2 linked regions of the Drosophila melanogaster genome follow. The protein of the gene in region 1 interacts with the protein of each later gene in a pairwise test. Each region holds a gene or a part of one and is shown on either strand. Other genes may lie near its edges.

What was found. Proteins that work in one complex are often made in the same cells at the same time.
Region 2: the proteins of Fas3 (region 1) and C901 interact in a two-hybrid assay, tested with the Drosophila melanogaster proteins (one large-scale study listed by BioGRID).

Annotation. Positions count from the first base shown.
Region 1 is NT_033779.5:18,316,419-18,324,431, reverse strand, and holds the start of Fas3 (fasciclin 3), read right to left. Parts: upstream 4,331-8,013; 5' UTR 3,745-4,330; coding exon 3,702-3,744; intron 1-3,701. UniProt on the Drosophila melanogaster protein: Mediates cell adhesion in a Ca(2+)-independent manner. It plays a role in axon outgrowth, guidance and fasciculation of the developing nervous system. Function in neurons is essential for adult survival, and is important for climbing behavior and activity.
Region 2 is NC_004354.4:10,963,524-10,970,303, forward strand, and holds C901 (C901), read right to left. Parts: upstream 3,612-6,780; 5' UTR 3,545-3,611; intron 3,032-3,544; 5' UTR 3,030-3,031; coding exon 2,892-3,029; intron 2,826-2,891; coding exon 2,687-2,825; intron 2,627-2,686; coding exon 2,468-2,626; intron 2,260-2,467; coding exon 2,068-2,259; intron 1,997-2,067; coding exon 1,936-1,996; intron 1,733-1,935; coding exon 1,602-1,732; intron 1,544-1,601; coding exon 684-1,543; 3' UTR 509-683; downstream 1-508. Other genes in the region: vex (vexed), read right to left, coding at 5,221-5,774, 5,869-5,945.

The sequences.
Region 1 (8,013 bases):
TGCTCGAGACTCACACACACACACTTGTTTGCAGTTGCAGCCCGAAAAGCAGCAGAGGAAAACGGGTAACTTTTCCATAAGCTGTGCAACTTTTTGCCGGCTTTCCCGCTTTTCTTTCTTTATTGTCTTTTCAACTGTTTTGTCGTGCGGCAGAGGAGCAGAATAAATAGGGTAGATCCCCCATTATATTTAATTTGCCTGGCATACGCTTTGTCAATATCGCACTCTTTCCTCTCTCTCCAACCAACCCTTTTGGCCCAAAAATTCCAGCATGGCCCAAAGCGATGCCAACTTCCTGGGCACGCACACAAGCTCACAAAAAGACAGACAAACATGCAGATAAACGCGTACGTATGCACATATACAAGGGATGCATGCAAAGAGTTGTTGTTGACAATGTTCAGTCATTCTTCAGCAAATTAGTCATGAAATTGTGCATTTCTATTTGTCTCTCGCCCAAATTGCTAAATTTGTAAATAAAAATTGGCTGCCGGCGATTAATCAGCAATATATATATATATAAGTGTCAATGTGGAAAATCGAATTGAAAAATGATAGAGCAAATTTTAGGAAACAAATCAATTCATTTGGAAAGGGATAAGCGTTGAAAGTTTTGGCCCGACAATGTAGTTTTAATTATAATGAGAATTGAATAAGACAAATATTTATGTAAATTTATATTAAAAATACATTTTCCCTGCATGGATTGACTGAAATTAATACAATATTCGCATGGCAACTTTGATTTTGCCAAGGTGAGAGCAGCATATGTATATCACAAATTTTACAACGCCCAACTATAAATCATAGATTGATTACAGACTTACAATCCAAGCAAACAATAAAGTGGCAAAGAAAGGCATTTGAAAGAAACCCGTTAGCAATTAACCGATTCTTCCTTCCGCACCTTCGAGCGGGGAAAACTCCCGCTTTTCATTTGGGGAATACCTTTTGGTAAACTAAAGCCCCCAGCGCGATAAAGCTTTTGTGTCCTATGGCCAGTCCTTTTTTCGCAACGTTTCAGTTACTGCAAAAATGTTCAGTTGGTCGCTCGGACGCTTTTTTGTTGACCAGGTAGCAAAGCAAAAAGCCAAAATGAAACGATGTTATGAATATGAATGAGAGACGGAGGAGCTAGCCCTTCTCTGCGATTCCCATTGCAATTACCATAGGTAGAAAAAGAGTTGAAAATTATGTATGTCATGGGCGGGAGTGGGTGGTATGAATTGGATTGCCAAAAAACCAAAAGGAATAGATATAGGTGCAGTAGTCACAGTTCGCAGTAACAGTCACTGTCCGACGAGTCACATTTAGAAGCGGCAAACTGGGCAAACACTGCACGTATTTAATTCAATGCCTGGATCTTTTTTGTGACCATACCAGATGGCATATATGTATGTAGATATATGTATGTACAAAATATAGCATAGAACATGCCTCAATTGGTGGCCATTAAAATGCATAAATGCTGGACCGCTTTTTGTTCGCTCCTAGATGAGGCAGTCATAACTAAATACGTCACGACTGCAGCTCCTTTTGGCCATTTGAATTACTGTGAATGGTTTTTGGATGCAATGCCTTATTTACATGCTGCACATGTTGCAGTTCGTGTCTCCTTCATCCCTTTTTTATATCCTTGCACAAAGAGCGTCCATAAAATTGAATGGGAAGTTTGCAAAGGAAATTGTGGTTGATTTTTATGTGGGTTCTGGTCATATACATATATAGTTCCGAAAGTGGAGTATGCCATGGAGAGTTTATTTTTATTTAAAAAAAAGCGGATAGTTATCTCAAGGGGTAGTAATTTAAAGTTTAAGTACATTTGGAGAGTATCCAGAAACAGTGGCGATAAATAAATCGTTTGGCAATATTCGCATGTTAATAAACACTATTACCACAAGAAATTCAATTCCCATAGAATATTGTTAAATACTATTGAGACTCTTGTCCTTTTTTGCACGCTTAAGCGTATCCTTTGGGTCGGATAGTTAAATTTCCGGCCCATGCCCGTCTGAAAAAACGGTCCATGGTGCCATGGCCGGAGCTGCATTAAACATTTATAATTGCAAGACAACAGCCAGCCGGCAGTCAACTGATGCGATGTCTGCGATGCGTCAGTCCTATAAAAATGTAAAAGTATTCAGTGTGAAGTGGCAAAGCCCTGCTAGAAAAAGACGGCAACTGGACAGCGGAAAGAGATAGGGAGAAGGGTTGAACCTGCAGTGGATTTCCTGGTGTACTTTATTTTGGTTTTTTGTGTGCAGTTTTTGCATTTACATTTTCGTAAACCTTTGAAAGGTTCCAGGCAGGCTTAGCAACTGAATAAAACGCGGCTGTCTTAAAGTCACGTCATGTGGGTGGTTCTGTGGGGGGGGGGGTGGCTTTACCATTGGGCGGTTGAATCTGCCGAGGGGCTGTGGCAGTAATGAGGCAACTGCAAAAGCAACAGCTTCATGTGCCGTGTGTTGTGTTAATGTTGTTAGGCTTTGGCATAAACCAGCATCTTCTTTTCAGCTAATGAGAAATCTGTCTCAGTTTCCCCAGCTAGCTCTGCACCCATATATCCTTCTCGCTCTTCAAGGACGTAATAAGAGGGTACAATATAATAAGCACGGCTGAAACATTGAAGGATTTTAATTAAATAGAACCGACAGCGTTTTTGGGCCTTGATGATGGCATAGAATTTATATCCGCATTCGTACGTGGTACAAAGAGATGAAAGTAATGCTCAAGTGGATGCTGATGTTGTCTCCTAATTTCAAGGATGCATGCTGGCACAAGATGCGGCACTTAGAATAAATTAAAAAAGGAGCCAAATAAAGACTAATTACAGTGGAGCGAATATTGAGACGTATTACCATCTACAAGGTTTTTTTTAGATTCTACATTATTGGGGGCCAATGCTAAAATATGGAAACTAGTATTGATATAGTACAAAATTATATTCCAAGGCAAAATACATTTCAAAAACACATTATTGATCACAAGTCGGTTCCAATAAAGTACAACTATTAAACAGTCTAATACTGTCATAAAACCAAGCAAACCTCTTATGGGCACACAAAGCTATCAAACCCTATCACGTATGAACACAAAACCAAAGAAAATCCATTAAAACAGCTACTAAACCGATTAATTAAAATAAACGATCCGTGAATCATCTGCGGCGAAGATCTTTCGGGCAAGCCCAATTTGGTTGGACTCACCATAGAAGACCAAAGTGTAATTGACCTTTTCAACCTGTGCTGGCGCATGGCAAATGCCAGCTGTACCCCAAGATGCGAAAGGTCACACTTGGCACGGACACAGATTCAAAACAGCTTCGGTCACACTCTGAGCATGCGCAGTTGGAGCTATGGACCAAACCGGGTCAACCGCCAAAAGAGGAGGAACTATCAATTTCATGGATATTATGACAGGGAACTTTTCACTCAATCATCACTTTCATAAAGACAACACTTTCCACAGCCCCGCGGGGCGATGTCTTCTCATCAATCAAGTTTGCCGTTCAACAATGATATTTTTATACAGCTCGAGGTGAGAACACGTTTTTGGGTAGCATCTTTTTATTCATATACATAGGTATCTGAGAGTAAGCTAAACTTTTTCACACATTTGCGCGGGTCTTAAACGAGCGCGTGATATCATCTCATGAGCGCGACTTTGGCTTTACTTTCCTCTGAGCCGTTGTTTATTCTTACCTGTTAAGATGGCTGCGAGACATATAAAAACGATCCGTGACATGATTTTGCTGCTGACTTCCTTTGGCTTCGCGTATTTTTTCTACTGAGCGTGAGCGTATAAGTAATCCCGGTTTTGTTTTTTTGGGTTTCCTTATATGTGTGTATGAATTTTTTTTCTTGGTGTCACTCAGGCGTTTGGTTGCACTTGCTTTAGCTTTTCATGCATAAAATATACGGCCAAGTACGTTTTGGTGGCACTTTACGGCCGCTGAGGCTCTGGTTTATATTTTTTATGTGACGTGTGGGTGTGTGTGTGTGTTTTGGGGTGTGCAGTGTGTGTTTGGATGCTTTTTTAACTCCTCGCTATTATTTGTTATTTTCAAGGGGTATATCCGATCGGTTGGTTTGCGCTAATCGAAGATTATGCCACACTTGTAAACACACACGGTGGGCCAAATGCCAGTGGCAGCGATAGTGCTCAATGGCCGGCTAACGCACACGGACGCAGGTTTATACGATTCCGACACGAATAACGATATCAAATCCCGAAATGCCGAACCCAAAATGCCGAACGACCGATGTGCCCACGCAATCCAAGAGCGACAGAGAACGACTGATAGGAGCAACAGTTACCAAACGACTGAATCCGCTCCGTGTTTATAAAGTTGCCAACATGGGCAGCGCAGCGGCCGCGACGTCGGCGCCAGCTGCGGCAGCGACAGCGGCAGCATGCTGCGAACACCAGGCGTATGCGTTTTTACATATGCAGTCGCTGGGGTTGCATGTTGCCGCTGGATGTTGCTGGCGTTTGTCGATGTTGCGGCTGCATGTTGCTGCCGCTACATGCGCGACGAGCTAGCAGCATTGCTCGTTCTAGTTTACGCTTTACAGCGACTGTGTGTACAGGGTACTTTTAAATTACGGGGGTATATGGACTTGAACACACTACCTAAAAATAATGGTTTCAATTTATAGCAGCTGCAGTTTTTTATAATTTATTTTTACAATTATTATTTAGGTCACAGGGAATTGGGTGGGTGCTAGGAATTTATAATCTTTTAATCAACGTTTACCTAGCAAAACAGTCTTTGCAGTGTGCTCCACTAATAAATATGTATTTTGTTGCTTATAATTTAAAATGTAAAGTGAATTGTTGAAAATAACAAACTCATTAGAGCTTAGCCTGCATCTCCGGTTTTGATGACACATCTATTTAGGTGGAAAAATTTAGGTGACTAACGTGTTCTATTTTCCTTTGCGTCATAACTGGAGTTCAAATAAAGTTTCTTAGCATGGTGCTAATTTAAATATTATGAGTATGGGTTTGTACAGTATTTATTTACCTAATATCTACAAGTTAGAAGCCGTTAATAGGTCGTATTTGACCCACAAATGGATTGATTTATTCCTAATACCATTTTTTAATATCTAATGTTAAATAGATGAAAAGTACATTTAACAGTAGAATCAATGGCCCAAAGTTCCGAAAGCATGTTTTTTTTTAAACCGCGTGATAATTTGCTACGACCCAATTGGTTAAGGTTAGGCAAATCAATAAATATAAATTAGATGGACAAAGAAACATTATTTCGGATCGACATAAACATGTGTTGCAAGTAAATAGAATTTAAACGGGCACTCCATACAGTGTAATACTTTCTGCCGCCGCTGTTCTTGTTGTTTAGTTTGATTTGAATTTGTTTGGCTCTTGTGCATTGTGTTGTTGCAGCTTTCGCTCTTGTTGTTATTGCTGGTATTGTTGGTGTTGTTGTTGATTTGGCCAAGTTTGCTTTCAGGCTGTCGCCGTTGCTGCTGCAACTGCCGGATTTCTGTCTATTTGTCGTTTGATAATCTACCCCCTTGCCGGCCGCCTCCTTGGATTTCGCCGGCTTTTGTTTGCCTGTCGTGTTGTCGAATGGCACACATACAAATTCCGACCGAGAGCGAATCTTTGGCACAGTGGCTCCTCGTTCTGGTTGCCGATTCCCGTTCCCAGTTTCCCGCTCCCTCTTCCGCAAATATTCCGCTGTGTTTGCCACAGTTCCAGATCCCCAGAATCGCCCGCAATGGGACTGTGACCTGAAACCCACTTCGATTAGAATGATGTAAACGCAGGCTCGATTTATGGCGAGAACAGTAAATAGTAAGCTACGCAGTACTTAGGAAGTTTGTAATGGCTACCAAATAGAGCGATCGTACAGCTTACATAATAATTATAGAGCCTTACATATTGCTTTAACTAAATTATTGTACGAAATTACTTGTGTATCAATATTGAGATACAGTGTACTGTACCTGTGGAACTCTGAAATGCCGCATCGCCGGACAACTATAAGCTTGGAAATATTTAAAGTGACCCGTATTTTCGCACCCTCACCCTGTGCGATTTCCATTTTCGATTCATTGCCCCATAATGTATTTACTTCTGCATTATTACACTTGCCATCGTGCACTCCCTGTTTGCCCCCGAAAACCAGGCAGCAAATAGTATTATCAAACATTTTAAATTTAATCAAAGCACACACATTCAATAAGCCTGGGGCCATATTTGGACTATGAAAAGGTAAGCCATGAAAAATGCATAGAAATTGCACACCCTATTGGATGAAAATAGGGTCGCGTGGACTAGAGAAATATAGCTGCATAAATGTTGATGTTTTCGAACTGTCATCTTTAAAAATATTATTTTTTCTAATTTTTATTTTGGTGCAAATGCCGTGGTAATCTGACCATCGTAGCCAAATTTGCAACACATTAAATATTTTCGTGGAGTTAGAGCATTTCAGTATGCGAAGTTTCCCTTTATTTAGTTTCAACTTAAATTTTTCCACTAATATTTTTGTTTGTTAGGTTTGCATTTAGCATGCAATAAAAATATCGCATGCTATAAGGTTTGTGATTTCAGGGCGCACACGACTGGAAACTGTATATTCCGGCTATGTGCCCGTGTCCATGGGCGGGCTTAAGGGGGATGAATGGTGGGATCGGTTGGGGATGATAGCCAGAGGGGTAGGGAACCAAGCTGCTGAGAGCAGCCAGCATGTGTTTATTGCCAGCACAAAATGATGATTATACGTAATGTGTAATGGTCAGAATGGCGAAAGAAGGAGTCGAAGGCGGTGGCGGGAAGGGACGGGACGGGATTCGGTGGCGTAGCTTTTCCGTAGCACTGAGTGCGGCGTGTAAAGCCCCGGAAAAGCAGCCGGAATAGCATCAAGCAGACGGCAAAAACAAACAGGAGGCATCTCCCGCCCGCCAGTGGCACATCCTTGGTCTCCTTGCCATTTTCCTGCTCCTGTTAGTCCTTCTGCTCCAGAAACACTCTATTCTCCACATGTGATGGCTGCATCACAACGGCGATGGCCCAAAGCAGCCAGCAACATAGAACATTTTTGAGGCTTGCATTCAATTTTTGCTTTGCATGCCATTTTACTTGGCCTAGCTCTTCATTTTTCGGCCTGCTAACTATCTACTTGGAAAAGTTTTCCCCACTAAAAAACATGCATTTAAAGATGTGTAAATAATATTTAGGAAATTAATAATCTTTAAGTTATATATGTTTATATGTTAAAAAACCGCTTTTATTAATTAACAAAAACATGTTGCATATCCAAAATGACAAGTTCTTACATTTGAAATTCTCCCACACCTGTCAAGCTGGAAATGAATCTCATTACGAGTATAATATCATTGCAAGTCATTTCCATGACACTTCACTCCATAAAAAAAAAATAATAAATAAAGTCCGCAAAACCAGAACCGAACCAAAAACAATATGGGAAGAGTTTATTGAAATGAGAAGCGCTTAGAAGTCCAAAAGTGGAAAATGTGGGCGTCGAAAGGTGTGGGCGTTATGGAAAACATGTAAAGCCAAAGAGCCAGGGGAGCTTTTCTATATGAAGTTACCCGAAAACATGTAAATTAAGCATCCAGGGTTGGGGGTAAAAAAATGTTAGTAGGTGCGGATGAGCGAGTGAGAGACCTTGCATTACAATTGAGTTACGTTTCAGCTGTGTTGCCTTTATTGCAGTAACCAGTGCGAAATGGGGGGCAGAGTCCTGAGGGTTCTTTAAAGAGGGGAGGGGGCGGTAAGTTCGGAGTTGTTTGTAGGAGAGCCATGTTCATATTGTGCGAAACAATGAATTTATACTCGTAGCGCTCGTTGCACAGTGTTTTTTTTGTGTTGAGTTATATTTCTGGGTTTTACATAAACATCTAGGAACAAAAAAAAAAATAAATAAAAGTGATGGGTTTAACACAGGGAGAATGGGGCTTCGGTCTGGAAAATAGAGGAAAAGTGGGTGGCAAACTGCGGAAAGGGACTAGTAAG
Region 2 (6,780 bases), on another chromosome or scaffold:
TTATTATTATTATTATTCGTATCGATATTGTATTGAGTCATTCTCTCTCTCTCCCATACTTCTACATATTTTTTTGTCGATTCGTAAGTCTCCCATACCAGTTACTACATATATTTATTAACGCCCATATGCAAGAGTCCATATGTATGTTTAGATGTCTATGATGTGCTGGTTTCCATATTCCAATTTTCGATACCCAATCCAATCGTACTACCCCCAACTCGGTGGCGCTAAGATGGCCATATAGATCCCCATTCAAACCCGAGCTCGTAGTCCCCCATTTGTCTTAAGTTTAAGCGAACCAAGTGCAATCCGAGTGCAGGAATTGAACTCCCACAGGCTCTGAGTCCAATCCTCTGGTCCCCTATTCATATTTCGATTCAACGATTTCTTGTAGCACTTAAGATTAGCAAACTTTAATAATATCATTTTTTTTTTTTGACATTTGTTAAATCGAAAATTGCTTAGCTTAATCCCTAAAATTATCATAAATAAATACAATTTATATATGTATATCTATCGCAATGGATGGAGTTTTTTAATTGGATGTTTCATTCATTAGTTAATAATAAATATTCAGAAAAAAAAAAAAATTGCTTTGAGATGCTGCATATGTGGGCCCTTAACTGAACAATGTGTATATATATATAAGAGGGATTACTTGTCATTTGTCAGGTTCTTAACTATATAATATTTGGTATGAGTTGATCGCTGTCATCCTCCTCGTCGTCCTCGTCCTCATCCTCCTCCTCATCGTACTCGCCATCCTCATCCTCCTCATCATCGTCGTCATCTTCGTCCTCCTCCTCGTCTGCCACATTTGGCTTATCCTTGTGGCTGGTCACGGATGTTGCGGCTGTTGTAGCCGTTGGTGCTGTTGTTGCTGTTACTGTTACTGTTCCAGCTGGCGCCAAATTTGCTATTGTTTGCTCCTGGCTAGCGACGATGGGCAGCGGGGGGCGTGGCTGAGGTCCTGTCGCTACCGACACGCTTGTTGCATTACCCTTTACGGTTTTTTCGCCAGATGTGAGGGGAATCGGGGTGGCACGCCTCGTTGTAACGGCGCTTAACGCTTCATTAGTCGCATTGTCGCTGCCAGTTTCAGTTGCCACCACCAATGTCGTCCTTGTGGCGTTGCTGTTGCCGGGTAGTGAATTCATGGGTCCTGCTCCAGCTCCAGTTCCTGCGGTTGCCACGTTGGCTACCGTGTCATTTTTCCGCCGCTCCGGCTCGTTACCCGCTGGCAACTTTTCTCCAACCAGCCCGCCTCCTGGCTCGCTGTCATCGGGCACACCTGCACCGATGTCCTGCTGCCCGTTCTGGTCCAGTTCGCCATCTAGTTCCAGTACGAGCTCAGCGGGTGTGGGCGGTGTGATTCGCGGTGGCGCCTCTGAGGTCAGCAGAAAGTCATCGCGTATCTCGCAGTTCTTGCCCAGAAATCCCTGCCGGCACTGGCACTGGTAGCTCCCATCCTCGCGACTCAGCGATGTGCACTTGCCCCCGTTTTCGCACGTATCCGGATGCTCCACGCAGTAGGTGAGCTCTGTGGGTCAACTCGGTCAATTTCCCGTTGGCATGGTCACATATACGGATATACTCACTCTCGTCGCACAGCATTCCGCCCCAGCCGGGATGGCAGTTGCACTCCCATGGCGCCTCGCAATCCCCATTGGCACATCCCGGATACGGGAAGCACTTGTCGCACTGGCTACCCGTCCAGCCCACCTTGCAGCTGGAGAAGAAGGGGATGTCCGTGAAAATTGATGACAGATATGGGTTCGTTTTGCTGTTAGTTTGCTGTTAGCTAACTGAGCCATAATGCTTGGGAATGTTAAATTAAGGATAAAAATAGTTGACTTATCCGAAAAGGGGCACTCCAGCTTGCCGAAACCACATTTTCTGCATTTTCTTTATTGAAATGCTGCTCCTACTTACCGGCACTCGCCAGGTTTGCGGCAATATCCGTGCTGCTTGCTGCAATCTGGGTCACAGATTGCTGGAATGGCGGAATGGAGTTTGGGATTAGTAGGGTGAATGGCGGATTCCTTTGGTGGTTGCAGGACTTACGCGTCTGGCAAAGTAGTCCGGTATATCCGGGTAGGCAGAGGCATTCCAGTGGCTTGTTGCAGGTGCCGTGCTGACAGCCCGGCATCGTGGCGCATTCGGAGCAGGTGCGTCCAGCATAACCAATCCGGCAGCGGCACTCCCCAGGCGCTTCGCAATATCCACGGGTGCTGTGGCATCCGGTACGGCAACTTGCTTTGGTTGCGCGCGGATTGGAGGAAACAGGCAATTGAGTAATCGGATTGGACAGAGTTAGGAATGTTTGATTTGATTGGAAATGTCATATAACAAGTACAACCCCCAAAACGATATTAGTTCCCTATGTTTTAACTCCTTCTCTAAATGCTCCGTTCTTTAAATGTAAGATTGTAATCAGGCTTATCCTTTTCCGGTAACTACTTACGTTCCGTGCAGAAGAGTCCCGCCCAGCCAGGCTTACAGATGCACTCGAATGGCTTGGTGCATCCGCCATGTTGGCAACCTGGAAGCGGAATGCACTTGTCGCAGAGTTCGCCGCTGTATCCGATGCGACACCTGCATTCACCGGGTCGCTGGCAATAACCTGTGTGAATGTGAGTTCAGGGGTCACAAGATAGGGAATCATCTGAAGGAGTAAACATACCATTCATCGGGTCACAGCCCCTTCGACACATAGGCACCTGGCAAAGATCACCCTGCCACCCAGGAAGGCACTTGAAGTCACCTTTTTCATCGCAAACATAGTGTGCATTTTGCCGCTGTTTCTGTGATTTCTCACAGGCCTTAGGTAATCGAATATTTTCGGAATTGGTTCGAGAAAATTATGAACGTTAGGTTCTCCAACTTACTCGCTGTTTCCAGAGTGGAATATTCGAATTACTACTTTGCCGCGCATCGAAGTTGCGTCTATAGGCATTCATTTCCTCCAATTTGAGGGCGGTAATCGCGGTCACCAGCAGGAGAGCCGCCTTTTTGTCTGACAACATATCTAAGTCCGATTTAATAATAATATAATAAGTGTTTGTTGTTTCTATTAATAAATATAATATTATTAATATTATACGTTTGACTACTCCGTTAAAATTCCCTGCAAATAATGGCTTTTATGTGTACATAAAAAGCAAGATCATCTAAGTCGGATCTAACGACCTCTTCACAAAAAAAGTTTCTTAGACTTTAAACCAACTTAATGTGCTGAACTTTATGACTGAATAAAGAAAACCTAAGTGTAGGCCTTGTCAAATGTCTAGATGTTTTCGATTATCGGCTTAAACGAAAAGTGTTTTCGTTTGGCCAAACTTAGACCGTTAAAAGAAATCGACGGCCCACGGCCCCTCGTCGCAATTAACATGTTTGAAGACAACTTTCTTCGCGGCCGAACCAAAAAGAACGGGAATCACACCGCCGACAGAGAACCCGACAACCAAACAACCGATTTCTTGATGAATCACCACTGGCGAGAAGAAATGAAACTTGAAGAATGCAAATGCAAAAGAATTACTTTTAACGGTTAAGACTGCAGCTTCTTGTCGTCGGTCCGTCTCGGTCTGCGATCGCTTTGGGACTAATCAAGTAGCCGCCTCGTCGGACCAGCTGCCTCTGGCCGATTCTCGACTCTTTCTTTAAGTCAAGTCAAGTCAAGTCTTCGCTCTTCTCTCTGTCATTCTTCTGGCCTTCACCGTGAACTCAAGCCTCGAAGCCGAGAGGCAAAGCCAGAGAAAGAGCGCTGAAAGGCACCTAACCGACCATTGGTGGTAATTGGGTCAACCGGTAAACCCAAAACAGCTGAGTACTCAAGCACAGTGGGTCCAGATATGGTTTTTATGGACCACTCTACACTTTGAAAAAGAAGAAAACTAGGAAAACTTGTACCACAAAATCAGGAAATAAATAAAATCTGAAACAATTTTAAATTAATAATGTAATTATACTATAAAGATCTATATGCCTACATATCCAATCTATTAAATGCTTTAATAGCATTAACTATTAAATGTTTCTTTTTATATGCCCAAAAACTATTTATTTTATTTTATTTTACAATTACTTTCGACCCACTGTGCAGCACTGACGATCGAGTCACCAAACAAGTTGTAGATAAACCAGGATGGCTCAAGACTCTAGATTGGTAAATGTTCAAAGACAACATTGGTTTACTTTAAAATTATACTCGTTCTTTATTGAATGATCTCATTATTGGTTTAATTATAATTATAATAATTATTTCGACATTCGTGTGTACCTAAAATCCAGATTAATACTAAGATCCAAACGTTAATTCCGACTCCAGAGGGTTGTCTGCCAGTTGGGTAACCAAAAATTGTGGGCCTTAATCATTTGCTTTTGACAAATGTATCATATATGTTATGTTATGTGTAGAACGTGTGTGTGCTATATGCTTGCGAGTCGGGGGGAACTAACGATTAGACAGATACACTCGTGCACATCCACATACATGTATATATAGGTTCTTTCACTACGCAGCTCGACTCCATTTTCACTGTAGATGTTATGCGGTATTTGATGACTTAGTCTCTAGTTTCTAGTATTATCCGATCCGAGATCCGAGCGTCTTCACAGACCCCCAGCATTTATATTGAGTTGTTGATTGGGTCCTGAGCCCAAATGCTTACACGCGAGTGTTTCCTTAACTAATTAGAGAAATGCTAACCGAAGGAAGTCCACAGCAGCCGTGATATCAATATGGTTATATGATGAATATCATGTGTGTGGAGGAGATCATAAGTCTTTGGAAGTTTTTTTTTAAATTTATAAAGTATCTAAGAGAGCAGAAGTTAGTAGTCCGAAATTGTAGAACCCCTCGAAAACTTCAGAAATATGTGATATTCCTCCATATATACCCTATATTTCACTGGCAGTGTATCCTTTATTTCCGGTTCTCTTCTCTAGCGAGACAAACAAAAAAAAAAATCCTGACCTCATCACACATACATATACATACATATGCTATGATCTTCTTAATCCACTGGCTTAATGTTTAAACGCTTACATACGATGGGGTACTTTATTGATTTTGGGCCGGAAGTGAGGGGGCGTGGCAGGGGCGCGGGTGATATGATATGATATGATGAGTGGGGGAGACCGTACACCATAACCTACACGGAGAAAAAAAAAAATGGACACCGCAACTTGAGTGGGCGGCATGACCACGTCGCCTTAGACGAAGATGAACTGGGCGTGGCCGCACTTCTTGGGCGGACCGACGGTCAGACGGAGCCATTTGCCGCGGCACGACGGCGCCGGCAGCGCGCTCCAACGTGTCGTGCGTCCGGCCAGCCCCTCCCCCCGGCAATGGTAGGTGGGCGGCAGCGTGGGCGAGGGCGTGGCCGGCACAGCGCTGCGCTTTCCCGCTGTCCGGCGGCTGTGCGACATTTGCGACATCTGCGACTGCCGCTGGTGACGGTAGTCGGTACTCTCGTTGCTGTCCGAGTCCAGGGCATTCTGCAGGTCATCCTGCTCATCCTGCTCCGGCTCCTCATCCTCCTCCTCCGCCTCGCCATCCTGATTGGTCGCCTCCTCTTCGCTGCTGGTCTCACGCTGCAGTCGCTCCTCCTCAAGGTCATCCGTACGCTGGCCAAAGGCAGAGGCTGCGGATGAAACTGTGGTCGTGGACGGCGTAGTGGGTCCTTGTGGTGTCCTGGCGGTGGTGGAGCTGCCGGCTGAGTCTTGGATCAATGCCTCAAGGTCACAGCGCACCGTGATGCGATCGCCTGGAAAATAAAACACAAGACAGTCAAAATATTATTTTACACATTTGATTGCATAAATATTAAATACTACTTTAGTTACTTTGATTTTTCTTACCTTCTGTCATCAGGTTATATGGCGGCAACTTGTTGCAGGCTTTAGATGATTTTATTACCTCGAATTCCACGCAGTATCTATAAAGAAAGTTTAAGAATAGCGCAAATTATTAATAATTATACAAAGAAGAGATGCGAATATCTTAATAATTTGCAAAACATTCAAATAGATTTAAAGATGAAATCGGTTTCACTGGCTAAATAATGCTTAATTAATTAATCCATCCTCATAATCTGCATCCTACGCCTTCGAAACGCTCGCTTATTTGGGTATTCACTCATTCAGTCGCTCATTGAGCGATTCATTCGTCCGTTTGGTCCTTCATTGATTATGCATGTCCTTCGGTGACGCCTCATTAGAGGAGCAAAGGATCTGGCTGGCCATTGAGATGTTAAATATTACAATTATTGTAATTCAGATTCAGATTCCATCAACGGACGCAAAGTAGACAGAAACAGCAGCAGGAGCACTGATTTGTGCAATTGTGCGGACTGAAGCGGGCTGCTGAATACAGGACTTCAAAGGAAGAGGAAATGCGAATTGTCTATTAAGCCTAACAATTTCCGTTTCCGTTAGGCAAAAAAGAGCAAAAACAAACATGGCAGGCGAAAAATCGAACTGACAAGTGCCTTTGAGTGTGTGGTGTGCGGGTGTGCGTGTGTAAGTGTGCAAGAGTGTCGAGAGTGTCTGTGTGTGCGTCTGACAGCTGTCAAGGTGTTGACAACGGAAATTGCGTAGGAAATTTCAAAAGTGCCCGACATTTTGGGGCATTTTTGATTTTACCTACCACTTTCCCACCCACCGGAAAGCCAGGCCACTTAACCCCAGGGCAAAAATAAAAAAGAGGGGAAACTCGTGGATATAGCCATATATAGCTAATATACGCTGGCTGCTGCTGCTGCTGCTGCTGCT